Linked DNA regions of Macaca fascicularis. The protein of the gene in region 2 interacts with the protein of the main gene of each other region in a pairwise test. Links are inferred from orthologs where the notes say so. Each region holds a gene or a part of one and is shown on either strand. Other genes may lie near its edges.

What was found.
Region 1: the proteins of FCHSD2 (region 2) and ABCF3 interact in binary tests that used the Homo sapiens proteins (3 or more experiments, as listed by UniProt). The two-hybrid records come from large-scale screens. The link is inferred for Macaca fascicularis from reciprocal best matches to the Homo sapiens genes FCHSD2 and ABCF3.

The regions. Positions count from the first base shown.
Region 1 is NC_088376.1:96,107,191-96,113,365, forward strand, and holds the end of ABCF3 (ATP-binding cassette sub-family F member 3), read left to right. Parts: intron 1-147; coding exon 148-414; intron 415-739; coding exon 740-820; intron 821-907; coding exon 908-967; intron 968-1,066; coding exon 1,067-1,123; intron 1,124-1,233; coding exon 1,234-1,256; intron 1,257-1,366; coding exon 1,367-1,422; intron 1,423-1,535; coding exon 1,536-1,736; intron 1,737-1,832; coding exon 1,833-1,909; intron 1,910-2,979; coding exon 2,980-3,024; intron 3,025-3,103; coding exon 3,104-3,236; exon of another isoform or gene 3,237-3,434; intron 3,435-4,552; coding exon 4,553-4,641; intron 4,642-4,748; coding exon 4,749-4,840; intron 4,841-5,028; coding exon 5,029-5,161; intron 5,162-5,217; coding exon of another isoform or gene 5,218-5,292; coding exon 5,293-5,380; intron 5,381-5,468; coding exon 5,469-5,627; 3' UTR 5,628-5,933; downstream 5,934-6,175.
Region 2 is NC_088388.1:71,689,572-71,696,633, reverse strand, and holds part of FCHSD2 (F-BAR and double SH3 domains protein 2), read left to right. Parts: intron 1-2,100; coding exon 2,101-2,217; intron 2,218-4,228; coding exon 4,229-4,333; intron 4,334-7,062. UniProt on the Homo sapiens protein: Adapter protein that plays a role in endocytosis via clathrin-coated pits. Contributes to the internalization of cell surface receptors, such as integrin ITGB1 and transferrin receptor.

The DNA.
Region 1 (6,175 bases), on a different chromosome or scaffold from region 2:
AGTGGTGGCAGGGGTTGGCTTTCTTTTTCTAATTAGAGGAGAATTTGGAGAGATGAAATGGGGCTACAAACAATGTGAGGTTTGTTGTTAAACTTGCTGTGCACCTATTTCTAGAGCATCTTTGGTCTCCTGTCTCCACTCCTGCAGAGTATTGCTGGCTGGAGCAGATGTGAACCTGGCATGGGGCCGCCGTTACGGGCTGGTGGGGCGGAATGGGTTGGGGAAGACAACATTACTGAAGATGCTAGCCACCCGGAGTCTGCGGGTTCCAGCCCACATTTCCCTGCTGCACGTTGAGCAAGAGGTTGCTGGAGATGACACTCCTGCCCTGCAGAGTGTGCTGGAGAGTGACAGTGTGCGAGAGGATTTGCTACGGCGGGAGCGGGAGCTCAGTGCCCAGATTGCTGCTGGCAGGTGAGGGCTTCCGGCTAGGGAGCAACCAGCAGCTGCTGTCCCTCACAGAGTGCCTGCCCTCCTGGAACAATCCATAATTTGCATGTCCATCCTAGTAATCCGCAGAGCTTAGAACTTGGCGCTCTGGGACTCAAAAGCCCTTGTTCTTTCCACAGTGCCCATTTCCATAGTGCCCAAGGTAATGAGCACTGTGCAAACCCTTCCTGTATTCTCTTCCTCTTCCAGCCACAAGGTAGCCAATGGCCTTCTTTCCAATGGTATAAGGTGCAGGACATCCTCCTAGACTGCCCCCACTTAGGCCAATTGCTGTTTCTCCTCCCTCCAGGGCAGAGGGCTCTGAAGCTGCAGAGCTGGCAGAAATCTATGCCAAGCTGGAGGAGATTGAGGCTGACAAGGCACCTGCTAGGTATTTAAAGCTCCCCCTCCCTCCTTCAGATTTCCTTTCCCTTCTGTGGACTGTTCCAACTGAGTTCTTCAATTTCTTCTCTACTAGGGCATCAGTCATTCTCGCTGGGCTTGGCTTTACCCCTAAAATGCAGCAGCAACCCACCCGGTGAGTGACCCTTGCCATTCTTGGCCTTGAACCCTGTTGTCTCAGCCGCTTCCTGCCCTGATGAACACCCACCCCTAATGTGGCTCCATCATTCTTTAGGGAGTTCTCAGGTGGCTGGAGGATGAGGCTGGCCCTTGCCCGGGCCCTATTTGCTAGGTGAGTTTTCTGGGCCAGTGTATGAAGCCCTATGGAAGATTGGTCTTAGCTCTTGGGAGGTGGCATGAGTTGCTGACCTAAAATCTCGTGCGGTGTATTCTTTTTCATAGGCCAGATCTTCTGCTGTTAGATGGTGAGTTTGAAATGGGGTACCCTGACTTTAGAATGGACGGGGGTGGTAGCATCCAAGTTCCTAGTTCTCCAGCCCTTCAATCCCAAGTGTGTGCTCCCCTCCTTCTCCAGAACCTACAAACATGCTGGATGTCAGGGCCATACTGTGGCTGGAGAATTACCTGCAGGTGAGTGCCTGTGGGTGCTGGAGTGGGTTGGGGAAAGTCGGCTTCCAAGATACCTGGGGGCCTGAGAACTGACTGCCCTCCCAAACTGGGCCTGCTGTCCTGTGACCCCTCAGACGTGGCCCTCCACAATCCTAGTCGTCTCCCACGACCGCAACTTCTTGAATGCCATCGCCACGGACATCATCCACCTGCACAGCCAGCGGCTAGATGGTTACCGGGGAGACTTTGAGACCTTCATCAAGAGTAAGCAGGAGCGGCTGCTCAACCAGCAGCGTGAATACGAAGCACAGCAGCAGTATCGCCAGCATATCCAGGTGTGGGGCCTGGCAGGGCTGGGGGTCCCATCCCAGGGGTTCTAGAGTGGGGGATGTGGGGGAGTTTGACCAATGCCTGCACTCTTCCACCTGCAGGTTTTCATTGACCGGTTTCGCTACAATGCCAACAGGGCCTCTCAAGTGCAGAGTAAACTCAAGATGCTGGAGAAGCTGTGAGTACAGCATCCTTGGCCAGGCCTTGACTCCTGTTCTCTCGGTCTCCTTCCTCATTTGCAGGCCACCCTTGCCCTACCATTCCAGGTCTCCCCTTCGCTAGAAGCCACCTGTGACTTCCTCCTCTGCTGGGAGGCAGAGTATTCCACATTGTTCTTGGAAGGCTAATCTTGACTAGCACGTGGCAACCACTAATTTACTTCCTGTTTCTGCTTCTGTGTATCTGCTTATTCTGGGCGTTTCATATAAATGGAATCATACAGTATGTGACCTTTGTGCCTGGCGTCTTTCACCTGGCATCATGTGTGAGGCTCATCCATGTTGTAGCGCGTGTCAGAACTTCATTTCTTTTCGTGGCTGGATAATATTCTATTGTATGGATATACAGCATTTTGTTTATTGAGTCATTAGGGGACATTTGGGTTGTTTCCATTTTGGTTATTATGAGTAATGTTGCTGTGAACACTGGTGTACAAATTTTTGTGTGGTCATATGTTTTCAGCTTGCTTGGGTGCATACCTAGGGACAGAATTGCTGGGTTACATGGTAATTCCACATTAATGTTTTGAGGAACTGTCAAACTGTTTTCTAAAGCAGCAACATCATTTTACATTCCTACCAACAAGGAATGAGAGTTCCGATTTCTCCACGTCTTTGGCAACACTGTTATTGACTGTTTGTTTTTTTAGTTTTAGCCATCCTAGTGGCTGTGAAGTGATAGCTCATTGTGGTTTTGATTTGCATTTCCTTAATAACCAATGACAGTGTGCACTGGGAGTTTAACGTTGAAGTGCCCTTTCTATAAGTGCTGGCAGGAAGCTTAAAATCATAAGGCTTAGATGTTTGCAATGTGGAAACATATCACGATATAGTAACTGGGGGTAAAAAGTCACAAAAAGCCTAATTCTATTTTTTAGCATTTAGTAAACGAGAACAGTGTACTCTAAAGTAATGATACCTGAGTGGTAGGAGTACAAGCCCTTTCTAAGTTTTCTCTGAACATATATTACTTGTGTAGGAAGTTATTTTTTTAAGTCATAAATCTAGTCTACCTGATCTCTTCCCCCAGGCCTGAGCTGAAGCCTGTGGACAAGGAATCAGAGGTCGTAATGAAGTAAGTGCTGGGCCAGTGGGGTTGGTGGGGAATTGCTTGCTTCCAACTGCCCCCACATCCTCACCCCTACCTCCTGCAGATTCCCTGATGGGTTTGAGAAGTTCTCGCCGCCAATTCTGCAGCTAGATGAGGTGGATTTCTACTATGATCCGAAGCACGTCATCTTCAGTCGCCTCTCCGTGTCTGCTGATCTCGAGTCTCGCATCTGTGTGGTATGGCTGCTGTTTCTCTGTGCTGTGAGCTGGGAGTCTCCCGTCTCAGTGTGTGGTGTGGATTGGCCCAGATCCTCAAGCTGTAAAGGGATGAGGTCCATGGAACAGGAGAGAGGACCTGGGCTAAGGACTTTGCAGGACTTATACTAGCCACGTCCTCTGGCCGCACAGCGCTGCTCTTCAGGGAGGAAGAGCCTGGTATATAGTGTTTTAAAAATACTTAAAGCAGTGCTTTACCTTATTGATCTCAGTTCTGAGTTTTCTAAATCTTGAGACATTGAGGAGACAGCATGGGCTTCAGGGTCAGACTTCGGATCTTGACTATACCATTGCCTAGCTTGGTTACCAAGCAGCTTCCTCATCCTTAAGATGGCGCTGGCATCTACCTGGGATGGTATTGGAAGAAGTAAGTCCCCCCCAGCACTTAGCAAATACTCAAGTATTGCTCCCCTTAGTACATGTATTTTTCTTTTTTTTTTTTTTTGAGACAGAGTCCCACCCTGTTGCCCAGGCTTTTCTATGGCACGATCTTGGCTCACTGCAACTTACGCCTCCTGGGTTCGAACAGTTCTGCCTCAGCCTCATGAGTAGCTGAGATTATAGGCATCTGCCACCATGCCCAACTTATTTTTTGTATTTTTAGCAGAGACAGCGTTTCACCATGTTGGCCAGGCTGGTCTCAAACTCCTGACCTCAAATGATCTGCTTGCCTCGGCCTCCCAAAGTGCTGGGATTACAGGCGTGAGCCACTGCGCCCGGCTAGAGTCCTTAAAAATATTTTTTTGGTTGTTGAAGGAGTCATTGGGACTGGGGACTGCCTGAGACCCCTTCTAATTTCCTTCCCTTCTGTGTTACACACAGCGGTGCTCTTTTTATTGATACGTAATTATACATGTTTATGGGGTACAGAGTGATATTTCCATACATGTATACAATGTGTAATGTTCGAATCAGGGTAATTAGCATATTCACCGTAAACATTTATCACTTTATGTTGGGAACATTCAAAATCTTCTAGCTTTTTAAAAATGTACAATCAGTCATTGTGAACTGTAGCGTCCCTGCAGTGCTGTAGAACCCTCGAACTTATTTCTCCATTCCTCCTATCTAGCTACAATTCTGTTTTGGTTAACCAACCTCTCCCGATCCCCTCTCTCAATTCCCCTCCTCCCCGCTTACCCTTCCCAGCCTCTAGTAACCAGAACTCTACTCTCTACTTCTATGTGCTAAACATTTTCTAGTGCCCACATATGAGTGAGAACTTACAGTATTTATTTTTCTGGCACACACTGTATGACGTTTTCACGTTTCTTAAGGTTGGAGAGAATGGGGCCGGGAAGTCTACCATGCTGAAGCTGCTTATGGGGGACCTGGCACCTGTTCGGGGCATCAGACACGCTCACAGGTCAGAGGCACCCCCGCCCATGAGCACATTTGCAGGCACCCATGCTTCCTGCACTCCTTCATGGCTGTTGCCTTTGTCTGCTTTTCCACCTCGGTTTCTGTCTTCAGGAATCTGAAGATTGGCTATTTCAGCCAGCACCACGTGGAGCAGCTGGACCTGAACATCAGTGCTGTGGAACTGCTGGCACGCAAGTTTCCTGGTGAGTTGGAGATTTGAGTGGGGAAAGAGGGATGAGGCTGACCCCGGCAGCTAGACCTGCCTTGGAGTGAGTGCAGAGCAGCCCTCCCAAGCCTAGATGGAAGGACATGGGGACTTGGAGGTGTGGCTGGAGGGTACAGGGAGGGAGTTGGGCCAAGAAACCACCTGATCTGGGGAGTCCTTTTCCAGGGCGGCCTGAGGAGGAGTACCGTCACCAGCTGGGTCGGTATGGCATCTCCGGAGAGCTGGCTATGCGCCCTGTTGCCAGCTTGTCTGGGGGCCAGAAGAGCCGAGTGGCCTTTGCTCAGATGACTATGCCCTGGTGAGGCCTCATTTTCTAGAGCTCTTCCCCTCCCATTTCCCCTTCTTGCCCAGTAGAAAACCGTATCAGAAGGCTTTATTTTCTCTCACCGCACCCCTTCACTGCCTACCTTCCTGGGTTCTGCCTTCCAGCCCCAACTTCTACATTCTGGATGAACCCACAAACCACCTGGACATGGAGACCATCGAGGCTCTGGGCCGTGCCCTCAACAATTTCAGGGTGAGTGTGCCTTCACCCTGCCCACTCCTCCCCAGGCCTCGGTGCCTCTCGTGTCCCCCTCAGCACCTCCTGCTCTCGTGTCTTTCAGGGTGGCGTGATTCTGGTGTCCCACAATGAACGCTTTATCAGGCTGGTGTGCCGGGAGTTATGGGTGTGCGAAGGAGGCGGTGTCACCCGCGTGGAAGGAGGATTTGACCAGTACCGCGCCCTCCTCCAGGAACAGTTCCGCCGCGAAGGCTTCCTTTAGGGCTACCAGGCTGAGGACTCGCCCAGGACATGGACTGGTCTCTCAGACCCCTGGGCCACCACATAGGCCACCAACTCCAGGCCGTGGACTTCCCCCAACTTGGGGACAGCCTTATTCCCAAATGTCTCTCTCCTTTTGACTGGAGCATCTTCTGCACAACCTTGGGAGCCCATCCAAGGGTTGGTGAGGACTGGTTTCCCGGGGGCCGGCGGTCTGGGGGTACCCTCTGGGGTTATAGGTTTCCCCACTGCCCCAGCTCTGACTGGACCCCAAGTGGCTGCTATGTAAATTAAATGTCTCCCTGCATCTCCTTTGCCTCATGTCTGCTGCTCCCTGGGCAGTGGTTGCCTCCTATTGAGGGCTATGGACTCTCAGATTGGCCTTTTCCTATGGCACTTGTATCACTCACGTGGAGGAAGCAATGGCAGCACCAGCCTTGCCTCTAGAAGAAACATTGTCAAGCTGCTGGGGCATTGAGGTCATCTGCCTGCCTGACCTTGGGGTGGGCTGAGCCAGTGGAATGAAGGGCAGTGTATTGGCATCACTGC
Region 2 (7,062 bases):
ATCCAGCTACTCCCTACAAATTCATTCTCTTTGAGATCTGCCTTAATCTTTCAATATATCTTCAATCTTTGTTTTGGATTCATTGTTTACACTATTAAGAACCTAGGAATTATCTGGATTTTCTTATGAACAGTAATGAGAAAATTTTTGTTTCAAGTAATTTTCAATTGGGCTTTTAACATTAGCAGTTACCATTACTGGATGCTAAGATATTATGTAGATACTATACCAGAATGTTTAAAATATGACTTCATTATAACCTACCAACCCTACGGAGATAGGTGACATTTTCACTAGTTTTCAGATGTAGCTACAACTCAGATAATTAACATGCCCAAGATCATAAAGCTAGTAGTACCATAAAATGGCCTACAGTGGATTCAAACTAAGTCTATCTGACTCAAAAACCTATTCTTGGACTCTTCAGAATTTATCTTTCTACTTTTACAGATCACTTCCTCTGACTTTTGTATATTTCATTTGTATCTATGTCCAGAGTTAACATTTTAATGTTCCTGACTTTGAGAACAGATGTAAATTGAATGCCCAGACTCATTTGCAAAGCAAAATATAATAATAAAGTTCATTCCCATTAGAATATAAAATGTGAATGTAAAGATGGTTAGGTTTGAATTTTGATTATTTTGCTCTATTTAAATTCATTTGTCATTGTTATAATCTAGCTTTAGCTGAAATATCTGTATAGAACAAAAATTTTTAAACTCTGCCCCATCACAATTCCCCCAACAAAAATATTAATTTTTAAAATCCAGTTTATCAATTTCTACTTACTCTATCAATTTTGAACTATGAGACCTTGCAAAAGAATTACTAGGCCAGGTGTAGTGGCTCATCCCTGGCATTTCAACACTTTGGAAGGCCAGAGTGGGAGGATTACTTGAGCCGAGGAGTTCAAGACAAGCCTGGGCAACATAGAGAGACCTTATCTCTAGAAGGAAAAAAAAAAAATTAGCTGGGTATGGTGGCACACACCTGTAGTTCCAGCTACTCAGGAGGCTGAAATGGAAGAGTCACTTGATCCCGGAGGTCAACGCTGCAGTGAGCCATGATCAGAATTTCTAAAATTCTTTTCATTCTACAATTTTGCTTCTTTCTATATGAAAAGCCTCTTTGGGTGATTCATATTTTTTTAAAATAAATTCCTAATTATTTCAATAAAGTTTGTTTTTCAGGGGTCTTTAAGAATTTAGAGAGAATTAAAATAGTTTTGTGTTTAATGGCTCTGATTCTGTAATCAGACAATTACGGTTGTAACATTTAATATCTAGGACATCCAAGAAAAATTAACCTCTCTGAGCCTTTGTTTTCTTTTCTATAAAATGGTGTGGGACCCACGTCATAAAGTTGTTTAAAAAAAAAGTTATATGAATCACTTTCCATAGTACTTTGCACAATAGGAGTTAGCTATTAATATTTTTATTTAGATTTTGTGGTTTGTTCTTTGTAAATCAGAATCATAGCATACAGCTAGAAGAAACCCTTGGTGATCATTTTATCTAGCACCCTTATATTTCATATGAAGCCTGGAGAAAGGGCAAAAGCTGACTTTTAAGGTTTGGTGGCAAGTTGATGATGGACCTCTAACGAGTTCCATCTGCCTTGGGTTAGCAGGAGGGGTGCAAGATTGTGTTGCTGTTATTGTATTGTTTTGTTCTTATCTTTAATGATTCCTTACTCACATTGAAACTATTAAGTTGTTTCCATTTTTATTTATGCAATGATTTTATCACCATAGTAGGTTGGCATGAATACATTTTCTTCTTTGCTTACCTTAGCTAGCTTCCTTTTCACTCGGAAAGATAAGTCCGTCACACCCAAAAAGATAAGTCTGCAGTATTAGAGATGATGCTTTTGTGTTCAGCACTGTAAGACAAAAAGTTTATGGTCTTTAATGGTTTTATACTCATCTTACTCTTCTGGTAACTTTCTGTGACGATAAGACATTGTTTCCAGCAGTAGTGGAGTGTGCCTTATGTTTTGAGTGCTGATTAAGTGAAGGCCTTCTGATCCATCTACAAAGCAGTGGTGGTTGCAATAAAGATAGCAATATTTTTATCTCTGTTCTGTCTTGTGTTGTAGAGCCGACAATTAGAATCAGAAACTGGGACCACAGAGGAGCACAGTCTAAATAAGGAAGCTCGAAAATGGGCCACACGTGTGGCACGTGAGCATAAAAACATTGTTCATCAACAACGGGTAAGTATAAGAGAAAGTCCTAGTTACATTCACCTTAAGCCAAATGTCAAACAGTTTAAGGAGCTGAGTTTTATTAATGTGAAAAATATCCTATATGTGTTGTTTTGTTTTGTTTTGTTTTGTTTGAGACAAGAGGCTTGCTCTGTCACCCAGGTTGAAGGGCAGTGGTGTGAACATAGCTTACTGCAGCTTCAACCTCCTGGGCTGAAGCAATCCTCCCACTTCAGCCTCCCAAGTAGCTGGGACCACAGGCACACACCACCATGCCTGGCTAATTTTTTTTAGGTTTTTTGTAGAGATAGGGTCTTGCCATGTTTCCCAGGCTGGTCTCAAACTCCTTTGCTCAAGCATTGTATGTGTTTTTTCTGTACTTTCTCAACACTTAGCAGTGTGCTGTCAGCTATCTACTCATGTTGGAATTTCCTTAAGCCCTCCATCAGCAATACATTAATTCACCAGTTTACCATAAAATTGCCAAAGAAAAGCTGTGATAGTGTGTTACGGGCAGGGGAAGAGACATATGTTGAATTAATACAGGTTTTCATCCCTCAAGACATATTTTTTAAAGACACAATTATAGGTTTCATGAAAATATATGTTTGGCTGGGCGCAGTGGGTCATGCCTGTAATCCCAGAACTTTGGGAGGCTGAGGCAGGTCGATTGCTTGAGCCAGGAGTTTCAGACCAGCCTGAGCAACATGGCAAAAAACCCAGTCTCTACAAAAAATTCAAAAATTAGTCGGACATGGTGGCACACACCTATCTTCCCACCTATTCGGGAGGCTAAGGTTGGGGAGAATTGCTTGAGCCCAGGAGGTGGAGGTTACATTGAGGTAAGATCATGCCACTGCACTCCAGCCTGGGTGACAGGGCAAGACACTGTCTCGAAAGAAAAGAAAAGAAAGGGAAGGAGAAAGGGAAGGAGGACAGGAAGAAGGATGGGAAAGAGGAAGGGAAGGAAGAAGGGAGAAAATATATCTCAAAGACTAAACTCTAAGCACAAAGAAATTATTTTCAGTATAGTACTTTTTTTCTCAATTTCATTTATTGATACCTATATCCTTCTCATTCTTTGCTTTCACATCCTACTTCTTAAAAGAATTGCCTATGCTTATTATCTATAGAATCTCACCTCCCACTTACTTTTTAGCCCATTACATTTGAGCTTTCCTTTCCTTTCCTTCCCCCTGTATCACTTCATAGTCTAAGCTTACCAAAATCACCAATGATGTCTGTGTTGCTAACTTCAAAATGGACAGTTTGATTTCTCATTTTTCTTAATCTGTCAACAATTTTATCACAATTGACAACTCCCTTTGTCTTAAAATGTTATCTTCTCTAGTCATCCACGATTCAACATTGTCCTGGCTTTCCTTCTGCCTTTCTGGCTATTCCTAGATTTTTTCATAGTTTCCTCTTTCTCCAGCCCACAATTAAATATTCATTTTCTCAGATTGTTTGGCTATCTTGTTTTTTTTATTCTTTATCCTCATATAGGCATTCTCAATCACTTCCATGGTTTTACTTTACCACCAAATCATAAATTATTATCTTCAACATTGGGCCTAGCTACTACTGTGTATCCATATAACCTCTTTCCTGTTTTGACATCTTTTCACTATCTCACAGGCATCTCAGATTCAATGTTCTACTTATGTAATGTTGCTTAACAAACCACCTCAAACTTAATGCCGTAGAACAAGAGGGTTTTTACATTATCTCTCACTAATCTGAGTATTGGGTGGTCTCAGCTTAGCAGTTTCCCTTGGGGTCTCTCATGTGGCGTCAGTCAGACAGTGGCTGGTCCTGGCTTCCCCACTGAAGGGACTCTCTGTAGTAAGTTTGTTACTAGTAAGTCTATAATTATTTCAAAATGTTCAAAAAATAAATAAATGAAAAAAATTGTGGCTACTAGTCACTAAAGCCTTTTGAATTATGTAAATACTCTAATCACTTAAGGAAGATAAAAAGTAAAAAACAGTCATCATTATTGTCCCATTTTTTTTAATAGGTTCTAGATGATCTGGAGTGTCATGGACCTGCTGTATCAGAACAAAGCCGAGCAGAGCTGGAACAGAAAATAGATGAAGCTAGAGAAAATATTCGTAAAGCAGAGGTAAGGTGGCAGCTAACTGTGGCATTTTGCCCAGGTCTAATGACACTGTCGCAACTGTGATATGCACCTTTAAAACTGAGTTGCTACACACACTGAGATGAAGGTGATTCACCGTCTTCATTCGTGTCCACAGTAGGATTTTTTTTTTTTTTTTTTTTTTTTGAGACGGAGTCTCGCTCTGCTGCCCAGGCTGGAGGTGCAGTGCACGATCTCGGCTTACTGCAAGCTCCTCCTCCCAGGTTCATGCCATTCTCCTGCCTCAGCCTCCCGAGTAGCTGGGACTACAGGCGCCTGCCACCACGCCCAGCTAATTTTTTTTTGTATCTTTTTAGTAGAGACGGGGTTTCACCATGTTAGCCAGGATGGTCTCTATCTCCTGACCTCGTGATCCACCTGCCTTGGCCTCCTAAAGTGCTAGGATTACAGGCGTGAGCTACTACACCCGGCCATCCACAGTAGTATTTGTTAAGTACCTGCTCTGTGGAAGGCAGTACATATAACAAAAAGATGCCGTAAAGTTTACAGTCATGAAACATTAAATACAAAAGATTTAAGTCACAATGAAGATACTAATTTTAAAATTTCTACAAGGTACATAATAAACCACAGAGATTAATGGTAGAAAAATCGACGTATGTGTATCAATTTAGAGATATATATCAATTTAGATATATCTATCTCCTTATATATCAATATATATGGAGATATATATACATATATATTCATACATATATATTCAGAGCTTGGGAAATCTCCCCCATATGGAAGGTTCCCTGGATCCAGGGACATGAGCTGGGCTTTTAAGAATAGGGAAGATTTGGTTAAGCAAAGATGGGAAAAAATTTATAATAGTGGATTTTAATTTTTTATGGAGTCTTGGGACCTTTGAGAGTTGTATGAAAGCTGTGAAACATTCTCTCCCACGTACAAAAATGTACATTTTGTATACGGTGTTTAGAGTTCATATGCCTGAGGCTAATACTCTCTGCTCTAGATGGGGAGAGGTTGGGATAGGAAACAAGAAAGTATTAGCAAATGAGGAAGACACAGGGTATAATTTGGTAGCTGGATAGATTAGAGTGGAGGATTTTTGTGAGGAAATGTGATAGAAAATAAGTAAACTTGTTGTGGTTAGGGCCAGTTCATGGAGGACCCGTGCACACACTATCTACTCAGCAGCAACATGATGAAGGGGTATAGAGATAGACATTCATAAAAGACTGACACCATCCAGCCATCAAAAGATTATGTTCTTGTTAGAAAGGCATAAAGAATGCCAAAAATAACTAAGATGGTAAAGCATAAGTGCGGAGGAGTGGTGCATTAAGTGTAGTTGAAGAATCCAGAGGACACAGAAATCACTCTGGGAGGGATTGTTTTGGGTGTAACACAGAAGAAGACTTAAGATGAATACTGGCAGATGAATAGTATTTGATTAGTCAGATAAAAGGGGATAGCACAGACTTATGCCATGTAACTTCAAGAGGAAGAACTTGAACCAAAAGATGAAGGTAGGAAAGAAGTAGATGTGAGTTTAGTATTGGGAAATACTTTCTAGTAGTCAGATCTTCCCAAAGACAGGATAAGCACCCGTGAGACATAGTGTAGCCCTGTAAGTGTGTAAGAAAATTGTGGGCAAGCATCTTTCAGGGACCCAATGCAAGGAACCCCTGCATTGGTTTAGGGTTAATCTAAACTAGTGGTTTTCTAGCACCCCCTTAGAACTCTAGAAGTTTTGAGGAAGTGCTTCACTGGTTGTGGCGTGAAGCGAGAGGCAGCATAGACAAGCATAGAGAATATGGGCATGTTTTTGGCACAGCCCCATGGAAGTGATCTGAATCAGAACAGGCTTGCCATCTGCCTGGGCTGGAGAAACCCCAGTAACCCCACCTCCACTTCATTCCTGTTCACAGTCTAATTGGCAGCCTCCATAGTGAGGAGGGCAGGGTGTACAATGAATAGTCATTTTTCTCTTTGAATTCAGGGTCGTGTCTAAACTACTATCTTAGAGTGCTGGCCAAGTAGTGTTGGCAAGCCCTCCCCTACTCTAAAGAAACACTGGCATGTGGTAGAAGAGTTATTCCTGTTGTTTGTTTCTCCGCGCTCTAGATGAAGCCAGTTTTTCAGAGCCTTGGTGGAACAGGAGTAATTATTTTGAGACAAGTCTCAGAGGTTTTCTGAAGGGTATTTCGTGTATTTTCCATTTCCAGACTCCATGTGTGGTGTCACCAACTGGTACCCTAACTCTACAAAACCTCCCACCATCCCCAGTAGTAGCAGCAGTAGGTATCAGGCACACAGAGTCTTCATTTAGGCCAAATGACCTATTATTTCCATAGTATGCCAAACTAGACTGTGTTTGTTAGTTTCAAACTAAAAATATGAAGTGAAATTCTCATACCACAATGTCTCACCTTTTCTGATGCAAGTATTTAAGTCTACATTCTCAAAGATAGTTTTCTTATCAAGAATGTTGAATATAGTATGCTGAAACCATGACAGCAGATCCATTTTCTCAATTTGGAATATCTGTAGCATTTAATTAATTTTACTGTTAGCATAAAATAATCTCTCACTTGGTTTCCACTTATCAGATACAAAAAATAACCTAAGTAAAATTAGCCAGCAAATATGAGGGCATATTTATTGGGGTAGTTACAGGATTATCATAATAAAATTTTTGGATAGACTGGACCATGAGAGTCTTCAAAGGAATTAACAATAATGGT